3 linked regions of the Arabidopsis thaliana genome follow. The protein of the gene in region 2 interacts with the protein of the main gene of each other region in a pairwise test. Each region holds a gene or a part of one and is shown on either strand. Other genes may lie near its edges.

Region 1 (11,434 bases), on a different chromosome or scaffold from region 2:
GTGAACTATTATCCCAAGCTCCAAGACCTAATTTTACACATAAGATTTTTGAATATGTGAATAAAATATTTAATATTGATAGTGTTTTCGGAAGTATGTGTATACATATGTTAAAGAAACAACTAAATGAGATTGTAATAAAGGCTCAACTAACCGTGGCGATAACTCGGTACCGCAATAGTTGTTTTGAGCATGTAGAGCTACGTTCTTTAGTTGTTAGAGGCAAATGATCGATTTGAATTATCATAGGAGTAGTCCTTTCTTCGCTGTCATCAGCGACAGCTTTCTTGGTGTAGAGACTTGTAGCGATAGAGTCAATAGCAAGAGTTACAAGACCGGACAACATAGCGACAAAGCCAGTGAAGGGAAACTTGTGCCATGGATTGTCTTCAAGACATGGAGAGGACAACATCTCGAAAGAATCGGGCAAAACATGCATGAAGCCGGTTCCTAGGATGATCCCGGATGCAAAACACTTAATGATCATAAAGATTTTACCATCTGGATGCAGGAATGTGACATATCGGCTAAAGAGAGGAGCTGCGACTCCGATCATGCTTGTCACGAGGATGGCAACGATTGCTACAATTTTGAGAGGTAAGGCTTTGGTTTTATCGATGCAAGAGTCTGTTGAATCGGTCTCGCATTCTTTTGGAACCGTTGAGATCGCCGGAGAGATTGCGAAGGAGATTAGGAGGAGTACGAGGAAGATTTGATTCATGTGTTGAGTAGTCGTAGCCATTTTTCAATTTTGGTTTTGTTAGTAAACGAAAATAATGTGTTATTTTGCCTCAAATCATATGAAGTTTATGACTCATATATATACGGATTATATATAATGTTCCGGCTTGTTGATATTGACATGCATGGGATATTATTCGTTTTATATCTACGAACAAAAAATAACGCATGACACACGAGTCAATATTAATGTAGATTAGAAGTATAGTTATGTGAAATGTAATCTAATCTTATCTTTAAAATGAACATTTTAAACTTCATATGCATATAGATATGCCAAATATAATTGACATTATTATTTTTTATGTAGTATCATATATTCCCTTTGTGTACTTCATTCCATGGAATTTCATCATGGCCAGGATCACGCCGATCAAGGATTTAAGCTTCATTCATGCTTTTGGATGTATCGGTAACAAGTCAACGTTAGTTACACGATTAAAATAAAGTTTCGTTAATCTATAAGACTAGAAATATATTAGATTCTAAATTCTGAACATATATTTGAAAGAACTATGATACAGTTGTTGATTCAGACCAGAAGAAAAGTTATTAGTTGTGAATTTGGATAATCAAGCTAATGATTATTATATTTATTTTCCATTTTCAAGTATATTACCGAATGAAAACTAGGTTTATCAAAGCTGGGCCAGACCTAATTGGAAACCCCCCTCACAGCATCAGGCCCATTAATTTCTGTAAGCCGAGTTTTGTTTGAGCTTATATGCTTTAGATTCTTTTTTCATTTATGGACGAAATCTTCTTTTCTTTCAGGTTAAAAATTTAGAATCTGATCAGTGATCCATTAATGGTTAGCATCGGGCCCATTAGTAAAGAAACGTTAGAATCTTATCAGTGGTCCTCTGTGACAGCATTTTCAACTCGATCCTCATTGTAATGGACGTTTAATCTGAGCAAGAACTGTCCGATCTCGGTTGCTTTCAATGTTTCTTAGCACATCGGATGGAGTTGTTTGTATATGTCGTAAACGATAGGAAAGAGTACAACCAATGAATGGTGAAATGGTACGGGTAAATCTACAATTTACAAACACATTCTCCAACTGTTAACTTCTACTTCGAGAGACAAGACTACAAATAAACTCTTCTAATTGGATGGCAATCTACAATCGATGATATTTGAACGGAACAAAACTAAGTGGGAAAGCTTCATTAGTTACTTACATAAATAGTTTCATTAAATTGACTTGTTGTATGTTGTTATTGACAAGTAGCTGCGGTTTATTCCTACCAAATTGTTGGTTCTTTACAAAGAAAATAGTTTGTTCAAAACTCTGTATGCCTTTTATTTTTACTTTATTTATGCAAACCTTTTCACATAGAGTATTTTGACACGATTAAAAAACATTGTTGTATATGACCCGGTCCAAGCCACGCCAAGTCTCTTTTAATACACGAAAACTCAAATATCAAAGGTGGAAACGCATGTTATATAAACTTTTTTAATTGATATTATATCAAATTATTCGATATTATAAAAAAATTACATAAGGAGACTTTGTATGATAAACCATATATTCCGCGTAGCTTCTCAGCAGGAACTAGGAAGCATCACCGACACTGACACACCACCCCATTGGATCGATGCTTCAATTTTTATTTCCAGTAATACATTTACATGAGTCATCAAGGTTGTTTTCTCTTCCAAAATATAAAAAAGTTCATCATATACAGGTTCATACATTTTAGATGCTTTGGGACAAATTTAAAAGATATATTCCTTAATATCATAATTTTTTTATATACTTCTTCTTTTAACAAAAACATTAGGTGCCTTTTGAGTATATACAAAAAACAAATTGTGTCCATCTTGTATAGATTTTTTTTTTTGTGCCCTATAAATTTATGTATATGTAGTTATGTACCCTATAAGTTTATATTATCGGCCCCTATAGTTAAGCCGGCATTGACTATATATTTTTATGGAAAATTTAAGAGTTTTCTTTTTGTTTTGTTATTTTTCTTTTTAATTGTTTCATCAAGTTAAGTTTCGTTTCCAATTCCTCTTAGAATGATTTTTATCTCTTGTGTTAGGTCACGCTTTACTAGTTTACACTCCTCTTTAGAATGATTTATCTCTTGTATGAGTTTTGTTTTTGTCTTTTTGTTAAGAATTTAAATATTCCACTAAAATGAAAAGTGTTAGGATTTTCATGAAGTAAAGCCTGAAGTTTTTGGTCTTATGGCAAAAAAAGAAAAAAACATGAAAACAAAAGAAATCAATCCATTGACATCAACAAAACAAATTACGTTTTTGAGTCATAAAGTGATATAACAATTTTGAATAACTACCAATATATATGTCCTCAATCTTGTGTGAGTTCAAGGCTTTATGGGTTACATCGTTATACTTAGTTTATGTAAGAAATTTGTAAATTTGAATGGGTTAAAACTTCTGATCTAAATAACGAATTGGTAGGAAACTTTTTTTTGTCTTGTTAATATTTGATGGTTTTAGCCAAAGTAATACATAAAATAATTATTTAGTGACCAAAACTTATCGCATATTTGATGATTTAAGCCATAGTAATATGATTTGTATTAGTGACGTTGATGGTTTAATATATGATTTAGTGATACTTAGTGAACGAAAGATACAAATTAACATATGGTTTACCAAAGTAACGCAGCGTCACTAGTGACCAAAACTTAGCGTATATTTGATAGTTTAAGTCAAAGTAATATACTAATATGATTTGTATTAGTGACGTTGCATTGTCACTATCCAAGTTTACACTTATATGTTATTTTTTGTTAAAAATATATATTTATAGTTAGAATTCTATATTCGATAGCATTACCGAAAGTCGAAAATTTAATCATAGGAATCATTGCCAATCGAAATAATGCTAATTAAATTTTATTTCATATAAAAATTTGATGAATAAACTATTCAACGACTATCCTTAAAGAGTTTTTTTTTTTTTAATAGTCAGCTAACGCATTTCACCGATTGTATTTGTAGCCTTGTAGGTAGAGTCGAATTTCCGACGCGACTAGAATGCTAGCATAAGAGACTTCACCACTTTGTTACGAAGCCAAGAATCTTCTTGTTTTAAAAAAAAAAATCAAGACAAAATTGTCGTCCCTCATATCTATATTCAATTCATTTCAAAACGTTATTTATGTCTTAAAATTTGGAACTAGGCCACAAAGAATGACTTTGGTCATCACAAAATTATAAATTTAATAAAAATTTGGACCACTATAGGCATAGCTATTGCCTATTATAATCTCTACTATTACTTTATGATTTATCTACTATTCCGAAAGTGTAATTGTTTAATACGTCATCACATTGCAGCAATCCACACACAAGCCACGTCATTCATATGCCGTTCGTATTTGCTTTCGTCACTTCCTTCCGTCATCAATAGTGACGGCTATTTCTTAATATTAATCTTCTTGACTTAATGCTATTTCGTGACGGCATTAATTGGCATATCATTACAAGTTATTTACACCTAAGAAACAAATTAAAACTATTGAATAATATGATGTAAATAAAAATATATTAATGATGTGATATATCGCAGTCAAATAAAAATAGTGATTTTGATGAGAAAAAAAATATGTGTTTATCCATAGATTTGTTAAATTAGAGAAAGATGTGGAAAATGTTAGTGAGTGGCGTCATACACGGAGAACCTTTGGCATCATACACGGATTTTTCTAGTCTTTGTTTTCTATTTGTCAACTTTCATTTGAGTCTTTCTTTATACACTTTATTAGACCATGTTTTTAATTCTAATGCTTATTAATTCATATTATTAAATTTACAAAAAAAACTATTATATTAACTCTCTTGTTTCCTCTGTATCTTCCTTCACATTGAAGCTGTCTCTTTCTTTCACCATCACTTGCACCTGTTGTGTCCTGTTTGTTCTCAATTTCATCATCATTTATCCTTTATATACCTCTCTTTCTTTCTTGACTTTTCCTCTAAATTCTCTTCCTTTTTATCTCTTTGATACATCTCAATTTGGTTCTTTTGCCTTCTCTTTGATCTTATCTCTTACGATTGTGCAGATCTCAATCTCTATATCCTTGGTTGTGTCAGATTCTCTTAGGGTTTATTTTCTCTCCCAATTTTGTTTGATTCCTTGTCCAAAGTTTCTTCCTTTCCTTTTGACTTTTTTTTGTGGTACATTGAATCAGAGGTGTAAGAGTAATAGTTTCATAACTCAAATCCCCAAGTGTACAAATTTTCCTCTTTTGGTTCTGGGTTTGGTTGATTCCTTGTTAGAAATGTAAATTTAGGGCTTTTGTATCTGAAACCGATCTTCAGACTTGTGTAATCTTCTTGATCTTCATGCAAGATTGATAATTCTACAAGAAGAAGAAGAAGAGAAAATGGCTACTTTGACTGAGCCATCATCATCTTTGAGTTTCACATCTTCTCATTTCTCTTATGGTTCTATTGGGTCCAATCACTTCTCATCAAGCTCAGCTTCTAATCCTGAAGTTGTTAGTCTAACCAAACTCAGCTCCAATCTTGAGCAGCTTCTTAGTAATTCAGATTGTGATTACAGTGATGCAGAGATCATTGTTGATGGTGTTCCAGTTGGTGTTCATAGATGCATTTTAGCTGCAAGAAGTAAGTTTTTCCAAGATTTGTTTAAGAAAGAAAAGAAAATTTCGAAAACTGAGAAACCAAAGTATCAGTTGAGAGAGATGTTACCTTATGGAGCTGTTGCTCATGAAGCTTTCTTGTATTTCTTGAGTTATATATATACTGGGAGATTAAAGCCTTTTCCATTGGAGGTTTCGACTTGTGTTGATCCAGTTTGTTCTCATGATTGTTGTCGACCTGCCATTGATTTTGTTGTTCAATTGATGTATGCTTCCTCTGTTCTCCAAGTGCCTGAGCTAGTTTCATCTTTTCAGGTGTGTGAAAAGTCTTCTTTTTTCTTCGGTCTCTTTGTTTCTTAATTCATAGACCTCAATGAGAACTAAAAGGTTTGTGTGCTTGCAGCGGCGGCTTTGTAACTTTGTGGAGAAGACCCTTGTTGAGAATGTTCTTCCCATTCTTATGGTTGCTTTCAATTGTAAGTTGACTCAGCTTCTTGATCAGTGTATTGAGAGAGTGGCGAGGTCAGATCTTTACAGGTTCTGTATTGAAAAGGAAGTTCCTCCCGAAGTAGCAGAGAAGATTAAACAGCTTCGACTTATATCCCCGCAAGACGAAGAAACCAGTCCCAAGATTTCGGAGAAATTGCTTGAAAGAATCGGTAAAATTCTCAAGGCCTTGGATTCAGATGATGTTGAGCTTGTGAAGCTTCTTTTGACTGAGTCAGATATCACTCTAGATCAAGCCAATGGTCTGCATTATTCTGTTGTGTATAGTGATCCGAAAGTTGTTGCCGAGATTCTTGCTCTGGATATGGGTGATGTGAACTACAGGAATTCCCGGGGTTACACGGTTCTTCATTTTGCTGCGATGCGTAGAGAGCCATCGATCATTATATCGCTTATCGATAAAGGCGCCAATGCATCTGAGTTTACATCTGACGGACGTAGCGCAGTTAATATATTAAGAAGACTGACAAATCCAAAGGATTATCATACCAAAACAGCTAAAGGGCGTGAATCTAGTAAAGCCAGGTTATGCATCGATATCTTGGAAAGAGAAATCAGGAAGAACCCCATGGTTCTAGATACACCAATGTGTTCCATTTCTATGCCTGAAGATCTCCAGATGAGACTGTTGTACCTAGAAAAGAGAGGTAATTGACTGAAAATTACTGAATTCTTCTGTATCTTTACTACATTTTTGTTAAAGCTTCTACCTTTTTTGCAGTGGGGCTTGCTCAGTTGTTCTTTCCAACGGAAGCTAAAGTTGCTATGGACATTGGTAACGTAGAAGGTACAAGTGAGTTCACGGGTTTGTCACCTCCTTCGAGTGGGTTAACCGGAAACTTGAGTCAGGTTGATTTAAACGAAACTCCTCATATGCAAACCCAAAGACTTCTTACTCGTATGGTGGCTCTAATGAAAACAGGTAACAAAAAGCTTGCTCTCTGTAAGTCTACCCTTCATCTTCTTATGTTGCTCATTTTCTCTTGACTGACTTCATTACCGTTTCACAATGCAGTTGAGACTGGTCGAAGGTTTTTTCCATATGGTTCAGAGGTTCTAGATAAGTACATGGCTGAGTATATAGACGACGACATCCTCGACGATTTCCATTTTGAGAAGGGATCTACACATGAAAGAAGATTGAAAAGAATGAGATATAGAGAGCTTAAGGATGATGTCCAAAAGGCATATAGCAAAGACAAAGAGTCTAAGATTGCGCGGTCTTGTCTTTCTGCTTCATCTTCTCCTTCTTCTTCTTCCATAAGAGATGACCTGCACAACACAACATGAAACTGCACCATAAGTCAAATGTAATTAGATATCTTTGTTAAAAGGGTTTTTTCTTTATGGATGTTACTCAGATTTTATACAGATGCTTTAGGTTCAGTTTCAATAAAGAGAGATGGATAGATAGATGTACAAGATTAGGAGTGCTGATTAACCCAAAACGTTCTAACTATACGCAATCTTTTGTTTTCAATACAAAAATCTAATATTTAGGTTATCTACAAGATATTCTCAGATACCTGAAACTTAAACAAACAAAGACACTCCACAAAAAGTCAGGAAAAAACATGATCATTTGTCAATCATAGCTATCTCTTTACATAATTACAGAAGATAAGACTACTGGTGGCTAAGAGTAAAGAACAAAAACCATTCTTCCAAACAACCTGTAATAATGCATTCTGAACAGAACTGTCACATGTATGTCCCAGTAAGTAGATGTTAGCTGCTCTCTTTGGCATAGGGTCGGGGCAGGGGCTTGTCTGACCAATACTGTCTATCTGTCTTCTTCAACAAAGAAAGCATTTCAAGTTGCATTATATGTTAAGTGTGCCTTTCCAACATCGTAAAGCAATAGAAGAATATTGTACCAACGAAGGACTGTGCCTTTCCAATTTGTCACTCTGTTCAGTCCAGTCTAAAATTCACTTCACTGAGTTCAGTGGCGTTTCAACATTACGGAGAGCCTTTGTTCTTTCAGCTTTCTCGAAGTCCTTCCTTGTTCGTTTGTTGGCATCTATATCTATACTGATGAGTAGAGAGGTACAATCAAATCCACAGGCGGAAATACTTCACTATGCATCGACATATTCTGTGATCCTCTCCATCGCACTGAGAATTTCCAGGTTTCACTGGTTGTGAGCTAAGCAATGAGAAAATGTTATAGATCAACAGACATCTGCACTAGATTGAAGATAACGTTATATCATTGAACGGACCAGTTAATCAGGTAGATGCTTTCTTTATATTTTCCCAAGTAGCTGGACCTTCCGGGTGGGTATTGACAAAGTATGGCACAATAAGGGTATTAGAAATACCGACAACAGTGCCTAGTGTCAGCCTCGGTATTACTGCATCTCTTTCCCTCAACCAAATGTACATTGTGAATCTCTGATGTATTCTCTTCATACTATAACACAAATATGTTGGGGACTCTATCACGGATTCTATTGGATAAACCAAATAATCTATTAGCATAATGATCTTCTTTTCTATGATATCTTTCGGCCGGTTAAGTATATGAGGCGCCCGCTTAACAAGCTGGCTAACCACATTATAGTCCAAACCAGCCTTCACAAAGCAATCAAATCTCTCCTGTAGCTCATCTCCCCTCCCTTGGAACTTTTTCAGAGCCCTCACCATCTCATCGGAATTCTCTACATACCCTAACTTCAACAAGAATGTCGTCTTCTCTGCATTCCTCGAATCCAGTGAATCAAGTTCAATTCTACCTTTATTAGTTTTAGAAGCTATACTGAACAATCTCAAAGGCTCTTCCTTAATGATCTGACATAACTCATCTCTTCTGATTTTCAATCTATTCCAAACAGCTCTAGGTACTAGCAAAGAGGATGAACAGATATGCTTCATGTGACACTGTAAAAACCTAACGACAAACTGCTTTTCTATTCTGATACATTTCAAGAATTTCAACGCCTCTAAAATTCTTTTTACAGATTTCTCTAATAACATCTCGGAGTTGTCTATCAGTAATTTATCAATTTCATTCATCTGAAGTCCAACTTTATGAAACTTTTCAAACATAATATAAGCTTTATTGCCAGAAGTTTCACCTACCAAATCTGGATACGCTTTTAAAAGATTACTCAACTTCTTCTCTTTAAACCCCACCTTCTCAAGGAGCTCCATTGTCTCAAGAATCCGGCGCCAGTTATATGTTTTTCTAACTGACAAATACCGCGCAAGCCAATCGCATCCTAAGTTTAATCCCTTCAACTTATTTACCACAGAAACAAACTCACAATCAATGCCACCAACCAGAAGCAACGGGCAACAAGTAACAAGCTTAATGACTATAGCCTTTCTAAGAACCAAGATCTCATAAGGTTCAAGTTTCGATGCCAAAACCCCATTCTCGTATACAAAAATCTCTCTTGCTTCCTTATACAAACGACCAATCTTGTCACGGGGAATCCCATAATAGCAAAGAACATGAAAGTTCTCAAACATGGTACTGCCATCACTCAAAGCACCACATTCCGTTGAATGAAACGCAAAATATCAGATGGACGCAAACCCAAACTCTCGAAAAATGGTTCAAACTCATTGATGGGATTGTTGAAGAATAAAGTCCGTTGCTTTCAGTTTCAGTTTGAATAAGTCTTATGACTTTGTTTGTCTTTCAAATAACATCCCTAAGTATTAGGAGATAGACTAGCATTTCAGTTCCGTTTATTTAGCAGTCTGTTGCATTCTTGTTATCTTTGTAACTTGATCTATTTAAGATCTCTATCGTCTATGAGAATAACACACAAGTTACACATTTGTTCTCTGAGTCACTAGTTCGTTTACAACAAGTGGTAGCAGAGCTTTTGTTCTTAAACGCTCAAAGAAATGAGTGAGAAAGATGGTTTGAGCATTCCAAAATTCGACGGAGATTACGAACACTGGGCAATGCTCATGGAGAATCTCATGAGGTCCAAGGAGTGGTGGGATCTCATTGAGCATGGAGTTATGCAGCCAGAGAGAAACGTGATCCTGACGGGAGCCCAAAGAACAGAGCTTGCAGAGAGTAAGCTCAAAGATTTGAAGGCAAAGAATTACTTCTTTGCTTCAATCGACAAGGCAACTCTGAAGACGATTGCAAAGAAGGACACAGCTAAAGATATTTGGGAGTCCATGAAAACAAAGTACCAGGGGAACAAGAAGGTTCAAAGCGCCCAACTGCAGAGACTGCGAAGGAACTTTGAAGTGTTAGAAATGAAAGAGGGAGACACCATTGATGGGTATTTCTCAAAGGTGATGGTGGTGGCAAATGACATGAGAAACCTTGGTGAGAGCATGCCGGATGCAAAGATTGTTGAGAAAATCCTGAGAACATTGGTGGAGAAATACACATATGTGGTGTGTGCAATTGAGGAGTCAAATGACATCACAGAACTCTCAGTGGATTCATTGCAGAGCTCACTACTAGTGCACGAACAGAAGCTGAGTAGACATGGAGATGATGAGCGTGCACTTAAGATTGAGGGCAGGTGGGATTCTAGTGGAGGAAGAGGTCGTGGTGGACACCAAAACCGTGGAAAAGGAAGAGGAGGATATCAAGGACGTGGCAGAGGTAGCACAAACTTCAACAAAGAAACAGTGGAGTGCTACAAATGTCACAGACTGGGGCATTTCAAATTCGAATGCCCGGAGTGGGAGAAGACTGCTCATTATGCAGAACTGGAGGAAGATGTTCTGCTCATGGCGCATGTTGATATTCAAAGAGCAGGAAACGATGAGGTCTGGTTCTTAGATTCGGGGTGTTCGAATCACATGTGCAGCACAAGAGAGTGGTTTGTGGAGTTTGACTCAACATTCAAGCATAGTGTTAAACTTGGAGATAACAGGAAGATGAGTGTAGAAGGAAGAGGAAGTCTCCGACTCATCATTAATGGGGCAGCACAAAAGATAACAAAAGTTTACTATGTCCCAAAGTTGAAGAACAATCTCTTGAGTGTTGGGCAGCTGCAGCAGAAGGGACTGAGAATCATCATTGAAGATGATGTGTGTGAGATCTGGCACAAGCAGCAGAGAAGACTACTCATGTTCTCAACTATGACAAAAAACCGGATGTTTGTCATACAGGCAGCAGTGAGAGGAGACAAAGAAAAAGAAGAAGGGAACTGTCTGCAAGCTGTTTCAGATGAGAAAGTTGAGGAACTGTGGCATAGGCGACTTGGACACCTGAATCAAGGAGGAATGCAGAGTTTGTCAGAGAAACAGATGGTGATAGGGATGCCTATGCAAACAAAGACCAATGCTGCAGAGTTGTGTGATGTATGCATGAAGGGAAAACAGAACAGGCTTAGCATTCCAAAGAAGAGTTCATGGAGAGCAAGTCGGGGTCTCCAATTGGTCCACACAGACATCTGCGGACCAATAACTCCCACATCAGAAGGTGGCAAGAGGTACATCATTAACTTTATTGATGACTATAGTCGTAAGTGCTGGACCTATTTCTTGTCAGAGAAATCGGAAGCTTTGAGAGTGTTCAAAGAGTTCAAGGTGGCTGCAGAGAGGGAACTCGGAGTGAGTTTGATATGCTTGAGATCAGACAGAGAAGGCGAGTACAACTCTAATGC
Region 2 (9,435 bases):
AACAATATATATATTTTTTTTTGTCGTAAATTTATATCTTTATAAAGATTTTCATATTTTTCGAGAACGAAATTTCCGGCCGACAGCGTGAGGGTTTGCTGTGGAGATAGTACGTGGACATGTGTAGAGAACATGACACGTGTCTATATTAGAACACTTTCCATCATCACATCTCAGCCGTCGATTAAGTTTTCTGCCAATTGAAGTCTTCATCGCAGTTGTCGTTCGATCAAAATAACAAATGGGTTAAATAGTGGTTGTTACATAAACTCATGATAGTATATGGTTATTAGACAGAAAAGATTATTACATATGTGAGAATACTTCAGAATAATGACGGCCAAAGTTAATCATCTCAAATTATAAGAATTTCGAAAAGCTACTCACTTCGTAAATCATTTAAATTCTGAATTACAGACGTCGGTAGGTCTTTAAAGAAATAAAACTGATAAATGGTTATAGGAATCGGTCATAAACTAAAAAGATCAACAAAATGTTCGTTCGTGTTTACTCGAATTTTCTTTAGCTTGTGAGCTTGATGCAGAACTATATATGTCGGTACTTACTAACCCTTGCATATTTGTTTACATGACTTGGATTATTAGGATCCAAACATATTTCGTATATAAAAAATTAATCTAAAACGCTCATTAAAGCTTTTAGTTTCTCTTTAATGGTTATATATCAATAGGCAATAAAAGTTTTAAATGTCCGTACACGTCACGTGATTCCGACATTACTAGATCATCGGTGGTTAGGTTGATAGTCGCTTTGTGAATTGTGGGTGCAACTAACATAATTTTACTTTCTCTTTATCTTAATCTCAAAACTTTCAGAAATAAAACCTAACCGGAAATAGAACCGTACAATTTCATATATCAAGGATTTTAACTTATATTGTAGCATGCTCAACTTGGTTTTGCGATGTTTTCATATCTATTATTATTTCAACATATTTTCCAAATTATTTTATCTAAATAACTTACTTATTTGCAAATTAATTAGTCTATAAAACATATCTTTTTTTGGTCATAGGTTATTATTGTACATACTTATTAAATATTTTTAATTTTATTGTATTACATATTATAGATACATACTTGAAACTACGATCACAATAGATATAAATAAAAACGATTTTATGAAAGAGAATTCTCTCTGCAACCTATCTCAGTCTGGAAAATATTAACCTGAGAAGATTTGGATATCGCAATCTTAAAAAGTTAAAATTATGTCAAGCTCAGATAGCTGTAAGAAAGAAATTTCTTAATTACTAAATATTTAATCTTTTTACCATGTGTAGATGATTGATTAGGATCTTATAAACTTGTACCCAAAACGACTTTAGCACCCAAAAAATAAAAGGTTATATCATTTCATTAATTTGTATGCTCATGTATAACACGTCATTTATGTGGCCAATATGGACGGTCCATGTAATCCAGACAAAATTGTTCGAGTTGTAATTCTTTGTTTGGTATAGCGTTTTGTTGGGAAGCAACCGAAACAATCGTTTTCGAGCAAAGCCATTTGCAAAAACTATGAAAGCCTTACGAAAAGAGAAAATGATGATAGTCAACTATTATAATGCTCTAATAGTTGGACCCTAATTGTAATAGATTTACGTATAAAAAAAAAGACAAATTTTGGATAGACCTTGTATATCAGATTTTCCAGCACATGTATAAAGCCGTGCAGGTCTATGTACATATCTCGATACACAGCTATATGTCATGCCAATACATATCTCGATTAAGATTAGCTTGACTAGCAACCTAAGTCCACAACTACTACTATTGTGAATGACTAGACTTTTAACTCGTTTAATATATTGTTTGTGTTAGAAAGATATAATAGATTTTAAAAGAAAAAAAAGATTTGAGAATTATGTATATAAAACAAAAAGAAGACATGTTAATTTGCTTCAATCATATCATTTCGTGTTAGTAATTCTATATCTTATCATCCACTTTTGACTTATTCAATTAACTTAAAGTATCATAGGAAAGAACGAGATAGCACGTCATATTAAAATGGATGGATGTGATTCACACTTGCACAATTCTCGTCTTGCGCTAAATTTCTGTCCAATTTCGTCTGCCAACCTACAACTTACAAGGTCCAAAAGCCCTTTAATATAATTACGCATTATTAGTATTTTCCAATGTCAAGAAAACAATAAATGGACTATAACTCTCTGCTTAATGCCTAAAGGGCTAGAACAATTAGTCAATTAGTGGATAGACGATTTTTTAGAGGTTTAAATAGTTTTCAAATAAAAATAAAATATATTTCTGTATTAATATAACATAATAAAAACAAGTTAATAGAAATAAATTGTATATTTTAAATTAATCAAAATACATAAGCAAGAAATATGAGTATTCAGTATTCACTAATTTTAAAATACATAAATTTAAAAGCATTAGGCTAAATTCACCTATCTTACCAAAATCTATCTAATACAATTAATCTGCATGATAACTGGATAATCTGCTAAATCTAACTAGCTACTTAAGAGGTGGTGATCTACGCCTAGAACGTCTAATCATGATTTAGGAGATTTTAAGCGGCTACACATTTACAACATAACATATTATAAATATTATATTATAAATAAAATTCATAGAAAACTATCTCTTAGAAAAATAAAAATATGAAATTATAAACAAAACTTAGATAAAACCATTTATAATTCATAGCAAACAATATATACAAAGCTAAAACTTATAATTTAAATTGATATAGTTGGAAACAAACAATATATACAAAGCTAAAACTTATAATTTAAATTTATATAGTTGGAAACAAACAATATATACAAAGCTAAAACTTATAATTTAAATTTATATAGTTGAAAACTAAAAAATAAACTAAAATAAAACTTATGGAATTTTAGACAGCCAAAACGGTTATTTAGATATCACATAAACGTCTAAAATCTAGATGACGATCAACTAGGGATGTCAGACGGGCGAGCACGCGACCAAATGGGGGGTCCGTGATGGCCCGTGCTTCTTTTCCATAAGTGGTGGTCCGGTCCGCCAACGACCACATGCGACCAATCGAAGCCCATATTCGCCTCGCAATGTCCATTGGTCTAACGGTCTGGCCCGCAATCCTGTTCTGTTCTAGTTGTCTCTGAAACACACTGTGTTGTTCTCGTCTCTGAAACACAGTGTTGTTCTCGTCTCTGAAACCTTCGCTTATGGAGAACTTCTGTTCTATTGCATGCCTTTGAAGACAAGAGACTTTGACCGTAATAAATGGTTATTCCACAAGTTTTGTAATTCTGTGTTATCACCAAACACAAACTGTTCAGTCTACTCCATCGTTAATATCTAGGTTCACCATTGAATCTTCCACCAGCTATAACCAAACAACGACGAAAAAGAGATGTCATAACTATTTAACTACACAAATAGCATCTAAAAATAGCAACAAAAAAAATCAAAAACTAGTCATTACTTAGTACCTATGAAATTGTTTCCAAATGTCTCCAATTAGAACCTTGGATCCTTCAACGATGGTGATACTACCAACACCACCAAGGACGAGATTCTTCAAGGCATTGGAACCAATAGGACCACAATTGAGTAAACAGATACTCGCTTCTTCCAAAGTCCCTTGACTTCACCTCAAAATCCTAATCAATCAACGATTACTTCATAAAATTTCCTCCCAACAAGATTCGTTCGAAGATCGATAGAATAATACAAATGTAGAGTTCGAAGAGACTAACATAGTATACATGAGTTGACGATCGTACTTGGCTTTAGGTTCCATCATTGTTAGAGATGAGAGATCATATGTTCGTAAGTCGTAAACAGAGGAAGAAGAACAAGCGCGTCGTCCACAAGTCCGCAGACATTAATAGATAAACCATGACTAATCCACAATCCAAAGTTCCAAACGCACCCAACCCGCAATGCCCGCTCTTTTTTTGGACTCCCTTATACAGGCCCATACCTACTCTGCAATATTACTAAACGGGCCAGGCAAAGGCCCAATTGATATCTTTACCATCAACACTTTTTTAAAACATTGATTTTAGTAAAATTTATGTTGTTTAGGAACGTCAAACGCTTAAATAGCTTTTGTTTGACTTGTAGTTTTGCAAATATATAACTTCTCTTTTGACGTATAAAATAAAACTGAAGAATCTGAAATTTGGATAACATGTTAATAATCTTCTTTTACCATTTTTTTCAAAAGTATTGTAGTTAAAAAAAAATTGATTATTGTAAGAAGGGGAAAAACATGAAGGACTACAAGTCTACAACGATAAACTAACGCTGTCTGGTTCCGGTTTACAGTTCAGATCCAAACCCAAACCCTGTAACCCGACCCGATTAATCTCATCGAATTCTCCGTCTCGAACGCCGTTACAATCCAACGAGTTTCTCAACCCAAGATTCTGACTCCGTTTCCTCTTCTTAGACGGTAACTCTCCCTCAGCAACACCGCCGTTAACTTTCGCAACCGTTCGTGTCGCCACGTGTACTCTCCGTAATATCTTGAAAAACTCATCCACCTCTTCCTCCGTTACCGTCCGAACAACTTCCGTCGACGGTTTCCCTCTGTTACCGTCAGATTTTCCGTTATCTTCTTCTACGCGTTCTTCTTTCTTCAAAGAGTTGTTCATGTTAGCCAGAAGAAAATGTTAACGGCGTCGTTTAAGCTTAGTCAAGAAAAAATTATTTGCTGATTTTATTTTGCTAAAATTTATAATGAAACTCTTATAGCCGTCGGTGTGGAACTTAGACGGTCGATATTGTCAACAACTAAATAAATTGGACGGTGGAGATTGATGCTAATGACATCATCATGCGATGTTTTAAAGCGTAAGTATCATGACGTCACACTTTATTGACTTTTGGAATAAAGGAAGTCCATGTGTGGAAAAATTGGTATCGGCTATATTTTTAGAGTATATGTAAGAAATAACTTTTGACTTCAAAAGAATACACAAAATAACCTTGGACCAAATAGTATTTGTCGGCTACAGAAATTTTGGCAATAGTTAGTCTATTTTAGCCTTTCTCTTTCTTCTTCCTTCTTTTGTTTCTTTTTCATCTTCTTTACGAGACTTTAGCCATGGAGTTCTCTTTCTCTCTTCATCTTTAACACAATTCATCTTCTTCAGATTCACCATGTCATTTTCTTTTTCTATTTCTCTCTCCCTCTCCTAAAATAATCTTCACCACCTCTCATAAAATATATCATCATATCTCTTTATTTTGTTCACCTACATGTTCTCTCTTTCTTTTTCCATAGAAATCTCTCTATCTCTCATTCTTTATTTTCTCTTTTTACCTGAATTTTCCGTCAATGTCGTTGTGATATAAGAGATTAGATTTGATTTTAAAACAAATGTCTGATTTTAAAATGCATGTATTTTAAGAACAAAACATGTTATTAACACTGATATATTAATATTTGTCATGCTATCCAATAAAAACTCATGAAATAAATAAATATTTGTCATGTTATCCAATAAAAACCCATGTAATATTGTAACAATTCTATATGTTTTTTTAAACTTCGCGATCTATAAGAGAATTGCATGCTTTTTATAAATATTTCGTGCTATTTCTGAGAAACACATTATTTCAGAGAAACATATATATCGTGTATATATATTCTGTATGTATTTTAAAGAATTGCATGATTTTTGTAAATATATCATGCTATTTTAGACAAATACATATAAACTTTATAACTAAAGCCAATGGCATTATTGTAAAAATAAGTAAACACAAGGATATTTTTGTATTTTCTCTTTTTCAGAAAATGTTATTTACCTAACTTTTCTGACACAATGTCATTCTCTCAATTCTTTTCCATTTCATAGTTAGTTTCTAATATTACCCATATTTTTATATACATAGAGATCTATATTTTTATAATTTAACAAAGACCAAAAAAATTTGGCCAAACAACAAATAAATAAGGAAGACTAAGAACTTGTGAATTGTGATCATCGTTAACGTGGGGAAGATTTTCTTGCGATTATTATTCCTAGTCTTATTTATTTATTTATTTCCACTATCAATTTAAAATGACACGTAAATTTGTAATGATTTTTCGAATAATGTAAGCACTAATTGATATTGGTGTTTTAACTTTTAACAAAAGAAAACAAAGATCTACATATGGGCCTAAAGTAAAAGCCTTTTAGTTAAGTACATTATAATTGGGCTTTATATCTTAACAACGTCGAATCAATTGTAGGGCCGACGTGGGCGGCTAAGCTGTTTCCAACTTTCCAACTTCCGACCAGCTCCACTTGTGTCTTTCGCTCTCTCTACACTTATGTTTTTTTTTTTTCAACTCTCTGTTTTGTCTGACGTGTCCACTTACTAATAATTTTTGAAAAAACTTTCCACATATAAAAATTGCTTGATGGTCGTCGTCGATGGCTGCATTATTTATGAATGTATTAGTCCACATGGTGAAATGTCTACATTTTAAACACCACGTGACACTGATAATCCGACACTTGTATGTGTGAAATCAATGTAATGATCCCTTACTCTTTCTTTTTTGTTTTTCTTTCAATAGAACAAAAATATTGCGAATTTATCTAATAATGTTTCTGTAATACTAAAATTATTTTAAAAGTTTTTATTTAATATATTGTTAATTTGTCTAAATTTTGTCACGACCGTTTTTCTTCATGAATAGTCTTTGACGTAGTTGAACATCCATTTTGTATACACTGTTATAAATTTGCACACATTTTGTGTTTCAACAATTTTTAAAAAGTATATATGTAGTGTACAACTTTACTTTATTATTGCTTTACTTTTTTTTTGTCTATTGTCGTTGAAAAATGACATCAAATGAATCTGTTGCCTTCCTTACGTAGGAAACGTTTTGTTGAAATAGTAATAATTAGTAAGGGTCATTGTATATTGGTGGAGAAAATGTTTTTCTTACTTCTGTAATTGCATCGTCTTTTCTTCACGTAGGGTAGGCAATCACATGCATTCAGGCGTGCGTTCACTGTTTTCTTTTTTCTTCTAGCTTTTTGTTTTCCTACTATATTGTTGCAGAAAAATGTTTAGTTTAAACTAAATTAATTATCCAACTCTTTAAAGTGGCAATCTTGTAAATAAAAAGGGGAGTAGGTCTGGACCAATGTGGCAATGCGAGCGATATGTTAAAAAAGCTGTGGAATAAACAAAATTTTGGAAATTAGGAGTTCCTTTCGTTTTATGGAATTGAAAGAAAATGACACTTTCAATATTTTTTTGGTATTTCTTTAGTAAAAAATGTTTTAAATTTTTAATCGATCGAATCGTAATGAACCTTACAAAAAAATCATAAAATTTGAAGTTGATATATAAATTTTAATCTAGAGATGTTAACTTTTTGGATTAATCTGGAAGCGACCTGTTTTAAGTTGTTTCAAAACTATTAGGACCGAAACCAAATAGAATCGAGCAAAAAATGTTAGAAATTTTTATTTTATTTTGTGTTCTTTAGGTTAACCAAATGTTCGTTCATGGTGTAAGATATCAAATAATGGATGAGCTTAACCTCTAAAATACAAGTTTAAATTGATCGGTTCAAATCGGACCGAACTTAAATGATTTTGCAAGTTATTAGAGTGATCATGATCATGTTATGTTACGGAATATTACAGAGTAACTTAACTTAAGCACTGACTTAGTTGACCCAAAAAGAGACCATTGACTTCATGAAATGCTTGAGTGTGGAAAAAATAAAACAGAGTTATTCAAAAACGTTTTGAGTTGTGAATTATTCTCATTAACATTGTATTTATTTGGTGCACAAAAAAAAAAAAAAAAAAAATTGTATTTATTTATACCCACTAAAGATGGGAAGAAGACTTGTAAATTATGATGAAAAGTCCCTCGGTTGGTAGCAACTAGCAAATGTGGGGATGGAACAATCCTCCACGTTCGAAATTGTTCTTCTTTAGCACAATCAAGATACTGCAAAGTAAACTACCTCTAATGTAATTAATTAACCTCACAAATTGTTATGTTAATTAATGGTATTGAATTATACTCGTCGATCTTTTGTAAGATATTTTTGTTGAATGCCGAAAAAATTATCAGAATCTATAATTGATGTTTTTGTTTAAGAGTCAATTTGGGAGAATGAGTTAAATTACTATAGAATACAAGTATACATCACATCAAATAATATGAATAATTCACTAAACAATGAAGGAGTAGTTACTAGTCACTCTCTTTTATTTATTTTTAATTAAAAAACGAATATATATGTTATTGTAGTTTAATACTATTAATAAAATAAAATTCTATTACTTCACTTAGCTAAAAGACCCACAGTGCAGTAACAGTGAGAAGTAAATTTCATGAATAATGTATTACAATACAATAATAACTTGTTCGATACAAAGTATTATTCCTTTCACAAACTAAATTTATTTACCATATATCCATAATATAATTCCAAAAATAGTATGTTTTATTACCATATTGTAAAAGGGAAAAATGTCATTTAAATCATCACTTTACCATTTTCGTTGGTTTAAAACATAAACTCTCGATTTGGTGATTTAAATCCTCAATTTTATGTTGACGTTTAATTTAATCACGAATTCTCGTTAACTAAGCCAATTAAGACACATCGTTAAAAAATTTTCTAATTAAAATTTTTGAGTTTTTCTCTATTTTTCTTCAGAATCTCTTATCTTCTTTGGAATTTCTCTTCTTATTCGAATTCAAAGTAATCTTTCATCTTTAGGTCGATTGACGATACCGGGAAAAAAAATTGTGTCTCAATTGGCTTAGTCAACGAGAATTTGTAATTAAATTGAAAATCAACATCAAATTAAGAATTTAATTCACAAGATCCAAAATTCATACTTTAAACCAACGAAAATGATAAAGTGATAATTTAAAAAACATTTTCCTTATCCCTATTGTAAAACTATTTTCACCAATCTTAACCGAAAAAATGAAATAAAACTGTCCAAAAAAAAAAAACCAAATGCTAATAAAAAACGAATTTAATTTCCCATCTTCGTTTTTTTTCTTTCTTTTAATGCTTTAATAAATTTTTATTGAGATCTGTGTTTGAACAATCGTTTCTTAAAAGATTTTTAACATCTTTTTAAATTCCTCGGTCTCTTAAATTTACCAGTTACATAACTTTCTTTTATTTTTCCGACATAAATTAAAAGTTTTGTCTTTGGTAATAGAGAGGCAGAAAAATCTTGGCCATAGATTTGTCATCTGTTTTCGATTCGTTTTGATTCTTTACTTTATCTTCTTCTTCTTCTTCTTCTTCCTCTTTTTGAATCTTTTATCTTCTCACTTTTCTTTTTCACTTTTGGGAAGCTCGAAGAGCTGAGAGGAGTGTGAGAGAGAAAAGGATCTTTGAAGTCGCCGGAATAATTTGTTTAACCGGAGCTCTGTCTTTGACTCTACGCTT
Region 3 (11,814 bases), on a different chromosome or scaffold from region 2:
TTGTTTAAGATTTCATATACGTTGAATTGGTTTTGATTGAATATATTTTGGTTCCCAGACGTTGCGTGTATTATTTAATGTAAATTCCTTAAATCATTGGCTTATCTATGAATCAATCATTTGCTTAGAAGCAATCTCATGAGTAGCAAGAAAAACGAATTAATCCTTCCCATGTCTTTTATGTTTATATTACAGGATCTGGGTGAAAAAAGAACAGTCTTTTGATTTGGTGTGTTTCTCTTTTCTCTTAATTTTTTAGGATTTTTGTTGTGTCTTAATGAAATAATGGGAGCAGCTGAAGCAAGAGCATTGTGGCAAAGAACAGCTAGTCGTTGCTTTGTTGTTCATGAGGATGCTAAGATGGCTCCGAGGTTAGCTTGTTGCCAACACCAACAATCTTCTTCGGGCAACACCGAAAAAAACAGCTTTTCTTCCGGAAGTTTTGGAGATTCCTCTGATTTCTCTTGTGATACCAAATGGTGGCTTAAGGGATCAACTGGTTTTGATGAGGAGGTTACAAACTCCTTTCTTGAAGATACCAAATGCAAGAAATTGCATGAATTTGTCGACTTAATCGGAATACGAGAAGAAGAAGACTACAGCTTTATTAGCAAGAAAGCTGACGCTACAACACCGTGGTGGAGAAGCACGACGGATAAAGATGAATTAGCTCTCATGGTGGCGACTAAATCGGTTGATCATAATATCCAGAATTGTGATCTTCCTCCACCTCAAAAACTCCACAAGAGTATTCACTCCTCGAGTGGAGAAAAAGGGTTTAAAACAGCGGTTAAATCGCCATGGAAGCAAGGAGTTTGGAAGGATCGGTTTGAGAGATCTTTGAGTTACAATGGTAGCACAGAGAGCAAGAACACGAGTCCAATGTCTTCCCCTAGAAGTGATGATCTAAGCAAAGGTCAGCTTTTAGAAGCACTAAGGCATTCTCAAACCAGGGCAAGAGAAGCAGAGAGAGCAGCGAGAGAAGCTTGCGCTGAGAAAGACCGTGTGATAACAATCTTGTTGAAACAAGCGAGTCAGATGTTGGCTTATAAGCAATGGTTAAAGCTTCTTGAAATGGAAGCTCTTTATCTGCAGATGAAGAAGGAAGAAGAACAAGAGGAACAGGTCAAAGGAATGAATCTGAAGAAGAGAAAACAGAGAGGGGAGAAGAAGAAAAAGGGTGAGACTGGGAGATATATGATGGCTTTTGCATTAGGGTTTAGTCTCATTGGTGCTGGTTTGCTCTTAGGTTGGACTGTTGGATGGTTGCTTCCCTTCTAGAATCTTGAAATGTCTTCTCTTTGGTCACTCATCTTTTCAAGAGTTTTAGGTTTTATAACTTTTCACTTTACCTCTAAAATTGTGTGTATATTTTGTTAATGTATGTATTGTGTGATGTTTGTGTAAATTTAATCTTCTGTAGAAGTTTATTTGGTTAGGGTCTCTCTCTCTCTCTCTCTCTCTGCTACACAAAATTGAGAAGCATCAAACTTGGAAATTCATCAGAAGCTTGAGAATGTTGGAATCAAATAAATCTTATATTTGAGCTGAAAGTTTGCTACAAGTGGACCTCATTTGACCCAATTTTCTAATTAAGGCCCATATGTTTTTCAGACCCAAACTTTTTTATTTTATAATTTCTTTTTAGGGGTTCCAAAAAAATAATAGTATTTGCGTTTTGAACTTCTAAATTCTAAGCATGGTGGAATAAGATTTAATGATTATGGTCTTAGTTGCTTTAAAATTTATCACGGATGTTTAAAATTAAAAGTGTGATCACTTGAATAGTTTGTGTTTATGCATGCTTCTGTGAAATATATACAAAACTTTTTGACTAAATCCCAAAATTCAAATCTGTATAACGAATTCCTTTGATAAATGTGACTTTAAAAGATAATTCCAAAACATTGAAAACATATGTGTTTTAACTTCTTCTTTTTTTCTTTCAAATATCATACAATAGGCAAGTCTGGATGATGAGACGTCAATTACTAGCACCGACGACTAAAATACATGTTTTCATCATCAAATGTCTTTAAAATTCATATCTCTTTTGTTTGTTTGTTCATATCTAAGATAGCAATTAATATACCTCTATCTGTTGGGGTCAAATGTGATATTATATCTCCGTATTTATTATGAATAATGGTTGTAAGAAGCTTTATTGAATTTCCAGCAGAAAGATGTTTTGTTCATCATTGAGTACTACTACTATGGTTCAAAATGAAGCAAAAAATTTCCCGATTTATAATAAACCATAATTCGTTTTTCTTGGATGCTATGATCGATTCCAAACCACTAAATAGCACTAAATTGTTGTTGCAACAAATCCTTGTCTGAAATAATAAATTCGAGTATCGTTTTAGCCGTTATTTTTAAAACACGTGTTGTATTAAATATCTTATTATGTGGTGCCAAATTGTATAATGACGATACAAAGGACAAATGTTAATAATTTCAAATTTCCCACCCAGACAACTCTTGGTTCTATGCTTGTACCATCTCCGCGTCCTCGTCTTGTCGTGTGTCCTACACGAACATACTATTAGACTATTAGTGTTACAGTACTACAGCTTAATTAAAATATGCACATGTCAAAATATTTAAGGACTAACTGGTCAAATAGCCCCAAAACAATTCAAGATTGATTAACTAACATGTTCTCTAAAAGAATTGCTTCAGTAACCTATAATGTGGTATTGAATTCTCGAAAATGCATTTAAAACATCTTTATATGAGCTTACATATAATTGACTTAAATTGTTTGACGGAAATACCGAATTGTATGATGCTGTGAGAAAAACATGAAATACAAATATTCATGTATAGAGTCGAGTTTAGGATTTGATCAAGTGTCGAGCTTAATTAGGACTCGAACTGATAATACAAGAGGTACATATACGGATGCTTCTTTTTTGGACGAAACATATATATGGTTCAGTTCTTAAACACGTATATTCATACCAATCATATATATATTCTGGAAAATGAATTGAGTTCACAATTTCCATGTGTTTCCACGTGGTCAATTTAGGTCGAACTTCAAATGTTTTAGGAAACAACCGTTAAGAAAATCGCTCTACGGATGTATTCCTGTCAGTTAAAATTATCAAATTATGTGGCTTGTTTGCGACTTTGCGTTGTGTGTTTTTTGGCATTCAAGAAAAAGAATGCTGGATTATACTAAATAGGAACCAAAGTAGCATGTAGTGTCGTGATAAACGACGTGACAAATTTTCTCGCCCGCCCGTTTCCTCTTGGTACGAAAAGACTCCGAAGCCTTGGTGATTCGAACTGTCGAAGAGTTAGGTTAAGTCCAAAATGTCAAATGAAGCATGCAGCTTGAAGAGGGCACAATCGTCCTTTCCCCTGATATTTATCCCATATTTAATACATGACGCTAATGGTTAGCTTGAGTACTGAGTAACTTTAAGCGACATTTATAAGTATCAATGAAGCTCGAGTACTGATATTATTAACATCTTGGAATTAAATAGCTCACTATCAGGGGAAAACTGAAAAGCGAACAAAAATTATTGGAAGAAGAAATTATTGCCAACCGTACAGTTACAAGTATAAATGTCGATATATCGACACACCAAAAAAAAACTATTGCATTCACATTTAAAAAAAAAAAAAAAAAAAAAAGATGTATACTAGTATAATAGTATATCTGTCACAAACACATATCAGGAGAACATCTATCACGAACCCCATGACTCATTTAAGGAGTCTTTCTTTTTTTTGTTTTCTATGAAAAAACAAAACAAATTAATATGATAAATATCGATAGTAGTTTTAAAGTAATATTTCATATTGAATATGGATATGGGTCCGAGAAGTTACTATTGCATGAACAACGATAGAAATTGGACCAAACTAGGAATTATGCTAGGTATCGAATTATACTTTCCCTACATAAATAATAATCAGAAGTTAAAAGCTCCAAATGATTAAAAACCATTACTGTAGAGTCTGTACTTATAATCAGTACTCAGTAGCTACATAATGTTTTCAATAAATAAAGAAATTCCTTAAAGAGTTTTTGACACTTAGTTAGTAAAGTTGCACAAATAAAAAGGTTTAGAATAAGTAGCAATACTTATGCAAACAAAAACTGTATATAAGAACATACACTTATACGTATTTTTGTAGATGCGTACAAACCTGATAACTAACTTGAGAAACAGGTATCTAATTATTAATCGCGTAAAACAATAAACTAGAAACAAATAAATGAAAATATACATGCATATGCATTAAATTAAGTGAGCCAACACAATAACGATACAACGTACACGTATAACGAATACGACACAATCGACAGCAACACTCACAGACACGCCATGAACTGATACTGATACAAGTCTCCGTCGACAAGCCACGTGGCATCATCTCCGGCAACAAAAGGCTCCGGCGACCACCCACCTCCACTCATCATAAGCTCAGGCAGCTCAATGCCTTCCCAGAAATCATCTCCGTCGTCTATTCCTGCCACGTCATCATCTCCCATTTTGATGATCTTCACGGCGTTGGCTGCTTTGGCCGCTGCGACTTGGATATCTCTGGGAGTACACGTGGACGGTCGAGGTAGATCCTCGATTTCTTCAGGGAAATTCAGCTGAGCTTTTCTACCTTTTAGACAAAACGCTGCCACGTCGTAGGCCTTAGCAGCCATCTCCGGCACCGGAAAAGATCCGAGCCAAATCCGAGACTTTTTCCGGGGCTCTCTGATCTCAGAAACCCATTTTCCCCATCGGCGTTTGCGAACTCCGTGGTACACTGGATGCCTCGTGGTCGATGAGCTGGTTTCTTTACCTCCTCCGCCGCAAGATTTAACGGCAGAAGCGGTGGCGGTTGGTTCGTTGTTGGTAACTGGTGGTGATGATAGCTTCATTCTCTGTGGTGACATTAAAGAGTTTGTTATGTGGTTAAGTCACACTGTTATCTACATTTATAATCTCATCCAATCCCATTTTCTAACCAAAAGCGTTACTGTTTATTATCTGAATTTACATAAATGCCCCCAACGTACATTTAAATCATAGACTTTCGATTACCGGAATGTAATTTTCCAAATCTACTGCCAAATGGATAGTAGTACGTAGTGTGCGTAATTCTATTTCATATGCCGTAACTAATAATAATGATATACTCTTTATACAAAAAAATAATATACAGAAATCAGTGGGAAGGATTTTCCCTATTTTATATCTGTAGTTTGTCCATGGGTTGTAAATTTCTTACAATAAACAGCTGAATCAAATTAAATCAGTGATAGTTTTAGTACCAAAAAGATGATTTATTAAAATAAAAATTGCGCGATCTTGCATAAAAACAAAATTGAAGAACATGGGGGCTACTGATACCGCCGATGATTAATTAACTTTATATGTCAAATTAAACCAAAAAGTATATATGTCAAATCTTTGTCTCCCCAGCAATCGGGAGTGGTGGTGGGGAAATGCTTTCAATAGCTCATGTACTGGTGACGTTGTGTCCTATAGTTTTAGCACTTCTTTCAACGAATTGGTAAAAATAAGTGTCGATGGCAAGAAAGAGACTAAATAAATCTTATGTCTGAAAAGATTATGAAACTAAAGTCTAAAAGGGTATTAAAAATATATTATGTAGTATGTAATGTTAATAGCTTAGTACAGTAGTACTAGTACACCTACTCACATCTTGACATATCGTAGTGAACTTGTGTATACACGTTGCATATTAAGATTAACACTCAAGTATTTTACTCCAAAATTTGAGTACAAGCTTCAGCCAAAGTTAAAATAAGTATCTGACAGTGGAAAATTATAAGTGTGCTTACAATAATTTATTATTATAATGAAATCACTTTGTTAGGTGTAATTTTGTGTGCATGCATGCCATGATCGTGAAAATATATCTACAAAGAAACCCTTTTCCTTTCCTAATTATTAACTTATTAATTTATTTTCTTTTATATATATGATATACTTGGGCAATGCAGGTCCACATAGGTTGCTTTTAAAAATTAGCATTGATTATTTTTTGAAGGGACCATAGTCTAAACTCTAGTCTATACCACTCATAAATCTGTACTACTCAAAAAAAATGTCTTTCATGATTTTGCATTTTGCTACTATAATTACCATTACAAAAGAATATAAACTTTTCCCATGATGTAGTACGATTATTACAAGAAGAAAAAAATGACAACTAGCTAAAGTTATCATTCTTAAGGAAAGAAAAATTTAAGGTATCACAAGAAAATTCACGTCTTCGTACGGTGATTTGTAATCCCTTAAGCAAAAGGGCAGTTGATAAATATCACCTGAAGTCTATGGTTTCCACATTTTAACCCATCACGTCACTACATATTAACAAGGAACCATTGAAATTTACTTCAAGTAATTAATACTAATATCGCAATCAATTTTTTTATTGAAAAAATTGGGGAAATAGATAGCAAGAGGAGTTACGAAACTCACTTTCTTCTTACATCAGATGAGACCATACACGGCTTTACTATCAGTTTTGTCTCCGGGTGCTTTCGTGTAAACAATTTTAACACTTGTTCGTTTTTAAAACAGTAAGTAACTGAAAATATATATGTATATGTGTGTGACGTATATATGTATATATATATTTCTTTTTTTATTGAGCTTCGAGATTTGTTTTTTTGTTCATACGATGAGCTTTAAGTTTTGGTCGGTTCTTTTTTCCTTTTCGTGAGTTGTTGGTAGATTAAAGTAGTCATCTTATGATTTGTGTTTTTTTTGGTTGTTACCAAAAAGGTGACGATTTTGTTGACGTTAAACACGGAATTCATTGTAACATGAATATATCAACTATAAACGCCAAAATGGGATTTTCTTTTTTTTATAAGGTAACAAAATTAAGGAAAAACTATTGTTACAACTTCAACTTGCAAGTATGTTTCTGAAGCTAGAGTTTACAGTCACGTGTGAAAATCAAACCAATTTGGATCATTATTGAAGATAAATGAATACTTGATATATTGTTAGTACAAATTTAAACAAAGCGATAGGTTTAGTGGCATTCAGAATAAGTTCACCAAGAACCGGCACTACTTTATCCGGGATTAAATCAACTCTTACAATAGAGTTAACTGGACTAATAGGCCGATTTGTTGTGGTAAAACAAAACCAATGAAATATATGATAAGATTGAGATTTAAGAATTCAAGACTGAGTCCGTTGAACAGCCCATTCTAATTCTGATTGCTAGATAAGGGATAGATGGGGGGCATTATTAAGGTTTGGGAAAAAGGCTGATATCACGTTTGACCTAGCACATATGTGGCCCAACATTACAAGAATTCCATAGAAAACCAGTATTGTAATATCGGCCCATATTATATTCTTGACGACTTGGAGATATTGTAAGTCGACGTCGTTGTTTGACTTAGATGGGAATGGGACCCAAACGTCTCGAATAAAGGATAGTTTAAACACGTGAATCACGCGGTCCCCACTTTTTGCTGTGTGTTTCTCACCGCCATACATATATTATACCCACTCGTGACTTCATTTTCCATAATTACTATATATACTAATTTTTTGTTTTAACTTTATCGTTTGTTAAAGATTTTTCCAAAATAATATAGTCATTGTATATTCATTTTCGCAGAGCCGTAGTTTATATTTTGATGATAATTTTATGACTTAAAGAGTGAAAGCTATAAATATATTACAATTCAATTGTGGTTGCGAGAGAATAAACAAAAAGAGAAAGAGAAAAAAAAAACGTTACAGAAGAGAAAGTGCAGAGCTGTGCAGGCGCATTTGAAAATGAAATTAAAAAGAAAAAGAGATCCAAAGAAAATTAAATGCATCTCACGTTCTTCTCATTCTGGTCATCTCTCCTAAATCCACGTGAACTTCACGTGCTTTTCACGCCCTCCTCTCTATCGACTTGGCGTTTCCTTTCTTCTAAAGGAGTTGAATTGTTTTGTCAACATTTATCAAGTTATTTAGTAATTTGTTTTTTTGTTTTGTTTTTAAAAAAATTATTTACTCCCGTTGTAGAACCACCATCAATAATATTACCAAAAATAATAATCAAGGATCTAAACTAAAATAAGCCTTTTATTTTGTATAATTCTGAAAGCATTTGAAACTTAAGGAACAACTCTTTAGTCTTTGCAACAAAACAAAACACAACAAAAACCGAATATTTAAGCCTAACTTGAATGTGAATTGATTTGGTCAAAATTCCCGGTGCTTGACCACCGGTCTTAGTTGGCATACTTTGCAATTATGTAAACAAAAATTTTAAAAATTGAAAGCAAACTTCTAAATTTGGGTTTGGTTTCCCCTTTAGTTATTTCCATGAACATGAGAATCTAATCTCGAGTTGTCAGATAGTATTTGTTTAGATCTACACCAGTTGAGATAGATCTGTTGCAAATTTTTAATTAATCAAAACCCATAATTGAAAATTATGTCAATCAATTATTGACAAAAACCATGACATAATCTAAGGGGTTTTCAATCGTCGTGTATCAAAGACTCGAGACAAAGACTAAATCGAACCAGACCCGGTTTAAGTTTCTAAACTCAATTGTGTAGTTAAGTAGCTAACCATGGTTCAGATGAAAGTCTTTTTGTTTTGTTTTTTGTTTTGTTTGTTGGGGTTTGGTCTTTTAATAAAAAAGAGCACGAAGAACATGCGTCGGACTCTCTCTCTTCCTTGAATTCATTCAATTGGCCACGGCGACAAAACAGGGAGCCGATACAGCGAAACTGATACATCTTTTTTTATTTTCTGGATTCTTAGGGTTCTTTTTCGGGGAATTTAGGTAATTTGTTTGTCCATTTTGGTGGGGTTTGGGAGATTTAAAATTTGTGTTTTTTTTTGGGTCGGATTCTCAAAAATCTGATTTTGAGGAGAAAATCTCGGTGGAAGAGACTTGATTCAAATCTTCTTTACTGGTAAAAATATATTCTTCTCAATTCCTCATTTTCTGTTGGTGGAGTTTGATTTTTGTCATTTAATTGTTGTTAAAGAAAATAGGGGCAAGATCTGAGATCTCTGGGTGTTCCATGCAAAACTGTTATACTCCGCCGTATATTTGCATCTGGGTCACACTTCTAAACCCTATCATTTGACTTAAGAATCGATTTCTGAAGATCTGGGTTTCTTAAAAGTCTTTCCTTTTTGTTGGGATCCAAACAACAAAAGAAAAGAAAGCAGAGATGAATATTGGTCGCCTAGTGTGGAACGAGGACGATAAAGCGATTGTTGCGTCATTACTGGGCAAACGAGCTCTCGATTACTTGCTTTCCAACTCTGTTTCCAATGCTAATCTCTTGATGACTCTAGGAAGCGACGAGAATCTGCAGAACAAGCTCTCGGATCTCGTCGAGAGACCCAACGCTTCTAATTTCTCTTGGAACTACGCCATTTTCTGGCAGATTTCCAGGTCAAAGGCCGGAGATTTGGTTCTCTGTTGGGGCGATGGATATTGCAGAGAGCCTAAAGAAGGAGAGAAATCAGAGATCGTTAGGATTCTAAGTATGGGAAGAGAAGAAGAAACGCATCAGACTATGAGAAAGAGAGTATTGCAAAAGCTTCATGATTTGTTTGGTGGCTCAGAAGAAGAGAACTGTGCTTTAGGACTAGATAGAGTTACTGACACTGAGATGTTTCTTCTTTCTTCTATGTATTTCTCATTCCCTCGAGGTGAAGGTGGTCCAGGCAAGTGTTTTGCCTCTGCTAAACCTGTTTGGTTATCCGATGTCGTCAATTCGGGTTCTGATTATTGCGTTAGATCGTTTCTTGCTAAATCTGCTGGCATTCAGACTGTTGTTTTGGTTCCTACTGATCTTGGTGTTGTTGAGTTAGGCTCAACTTCATGTTTGCCTGAAAGTGAAGACTCAATCTTGTCTATAAGATCATTGTTTACCAGTAGTTTGCCTCCGGTTAGAGCTGTTGCTTTACCTGTTACTGTAGCTGAAAAGATTGATGATAACAGAACGAAGATATTCGGCAAGGATTTGCACAATTCAGGGTTTCTTCAACATCATCAGCATCACCAACAACAACAACAACAACCACCGCAACAGCAACAGCATAGACAGTTTAGAGAGAAACTCACGGTTAGAAAAATGGATGATAGAGCTCCCAAGAGATTAGATGCTTATCCGAATAATGGGAACAGGTTTATGTTTTCGAACCCAGGCACCAACAACAACACTCTTCTGAGTCCTACTTGGGTTCAACCTGAGAACTACACGAGGCCAATCAACGTGAAGGAAGTTCCAAGCACGGATGAGTTCAAGTTTTTACCTTTGCAGCAATCATCGCAGAGGCTGCTTCCTCCTGCTCAAATGCAGATAGATTTCTCTGCTGCGAGTTCAAGGGCTTCAGAGAATAATTCAGATGGAGAAGGAGGAGGGGAATGGGCAGATGCAGTGGGTGCTGATGAATCTGGTAACAACAGACCAAGAAAACGCGGAAGGAGACCTGCCAACGGAAGAGCGGAAGCTTTGAACCATGTAGAAGCAGAGAGGCAGAGGCGTGAGAAGCTTAACCAGAGGTTTTACGCTCTGAGATCCGTTGTTCCCAACATATCCAAGATGGACAAAGCGTCCTTGTTGGGAGACGCGGTTTCTTATATAAACGAGCTTCACGCGAAGCTAAAGGTCATGGAAGCAGAGAGAGAGAGGTTAGGGTATAGCTCAAATCCACCTATCAGCTTGGATTCAGATATAAATGTTCAAACCTCAGGTGAAGATGTCACAGTGAGGATAAACTGTCCGTTGGAGTCTCATCCGGCTTCCAGAATCTTCCATGCGTTTGAAGAGAGTAAAGTAGAAGTGATAAACTCGAACCTGGAAGTTTCTCAGGACACAGTGTTGCATACGTTTGTAGTCAAATCTGAAGAATTAACGAAAGAGAAGCTGATATCGGCCTTGTCTAGAGAGCAAACAAATTCAGTTCAGTCAAGAACATCATCAGGTAGATAGCCTTTTGAGAGACAGAAGAAGGTGGAAGTAAGTTTGTAATCAAGAACCGGTTTTGAATGGTTCTTTTTTTCTTCTAGGTATCTTTTGTTTTTACCTTTTTTTGGTTATATACCTGTAAGAATCCTCCAAACTAGGATTTTAGAAGTTTTATTGACAAAAGTAGACATTATCATTTACTCGTTTTACAGTGGACAAAGCTGGGAATTAAGTAATTAACGATAATGTTGTATCTGTTAAAGTCGTAGACTAGCTCATGAATCAGTCTTTATTCATTCTGATATGTCCTATGTGTTGGATTTGGTGAAGTGTTTAATCGACAAGTCAGATAAGTGTTATGGATTGGTCACGGAATTGCTCAAGAACAACAAAACACAGCTGATTCATTGCTTGTGAACAAGAGGAAACACTATGATGTTCGTGCACACCATTTTTAGTGTTCAAACTAACATAAACCGTTATCGCCTGGGGAAAACAAAAGTTTTAAGAAGAGAAACAGGTGGAAAATGTAACAAAAATAAAAATAGGTTCCACCGAGACTTGAACTCGGGTTACTAGATTCAGAGTCTAGTGTCCTAACCGCTAGACCATGGAACCGCTTGATGTTTAGATTGCAGTAAATACGTTTTTAATATGTTTCTCTATTGTGAGTCAAAGGGTAATGCGATGTTTCTTTCTAGATTTCCTAAGCTAACTCAGTCCTAATAAACCGATTAAAAAGAACATGAACAAAGCATGCAGATCATAAAAGTGTCACACAAAGAGAGAGATACATGTTAGATTGTTTTTTTTTCTTCTCTTAAATGATAATTAATCGTTCTAACAAAAACTTAGCTACTAGTCTTCC

Evidence for each region.
Region 1: the proteins of NIMIN-2 (region 2) and NPR3 interact in binary tests that used the Arabidopsis thaliana proteins (3 or more experiments, as listed by UniProt).
Region 3: the proteins of NIMIN-2 (region 2) and AT1G01260 interact in binary tests that used the Arabidopsis thaliana proteins (3 or more experiments, as listed by UniProt).

The regions. Positions count from the first base shown.
Region 1 is NC_003076.8:18,224,205-18,235,638, forward strand, and holds NPR3 (NPR1-like protein 3), read left to right. Parts: upstream 1-4,563; 5' UTR 4,564-5,114; coding exon 5,115-5,648; intron 5,649-5,736; coding exon 5,737-6,487; intron 6,488-6,561; coding exon 6,562-6,762; coding exon of another isoform or gene 6,763-6,827; exon of another isoform or gene 6,828-6,855; coding exon 6,856-7,130; 3' UTR 7,131-7,374; downstream 7,375-11,434. Other genes in the region: AT5G45113 (mitochondrial transcription termination factor-related / mTERF-like protein), read right to left, coding at 8,073-9,317. UniProt on the Arabidopsis thaliana protein: Salicylic acid (SA)-binding substrate-specific adapter of an E3 ubiquitin-protein ligase complex (CUL3-RBX1-BTB) which mediates the ubiquitination and subsequent proteasomal degradation of NPR1 in response to SA.
Region 2 is NC_003074.8:9,466,245-9,475,679, forward strand, and holds NIMIN-2 (NIM1-interacting 2), read right to left. Parts: upstream 4,796-9,435; 5' UTR 4,646-4,795; coding exon 4,277-4,645; 3' UTR 4,113-4,276; downstream 1-4,112. Other genes in the region: AT3G25880 (NAD(P)-binding Rossmann-fold superfamily protein), read right to left, coding at 3,348-3,369, 3,476-3,631, 3,743-3,789.
Region 3 is NC_003070.9:100,398-112,211, forward strand, and holds AT1G01260 (basic helix-loop-helix (bHLH) DNA-binding superfamily protein), read left to right. Parts: upstream 1-8,548; 5' UTR 8,549-8,933; exon of another isoform or gene 8,934-9,008; 5' UTR 9,009-9,197; coding exon 9,198-10,970; 3' UTR 10,971-11,302; downstream 11,303-11,814. Other genes in the region: AT1G01240 (uncharacterized protein), read left to right, coding at 286-1,281; AT1G01250 (Integrase-type DNA-binding superfamily protein), read right to left, coding at 4,334-4,912.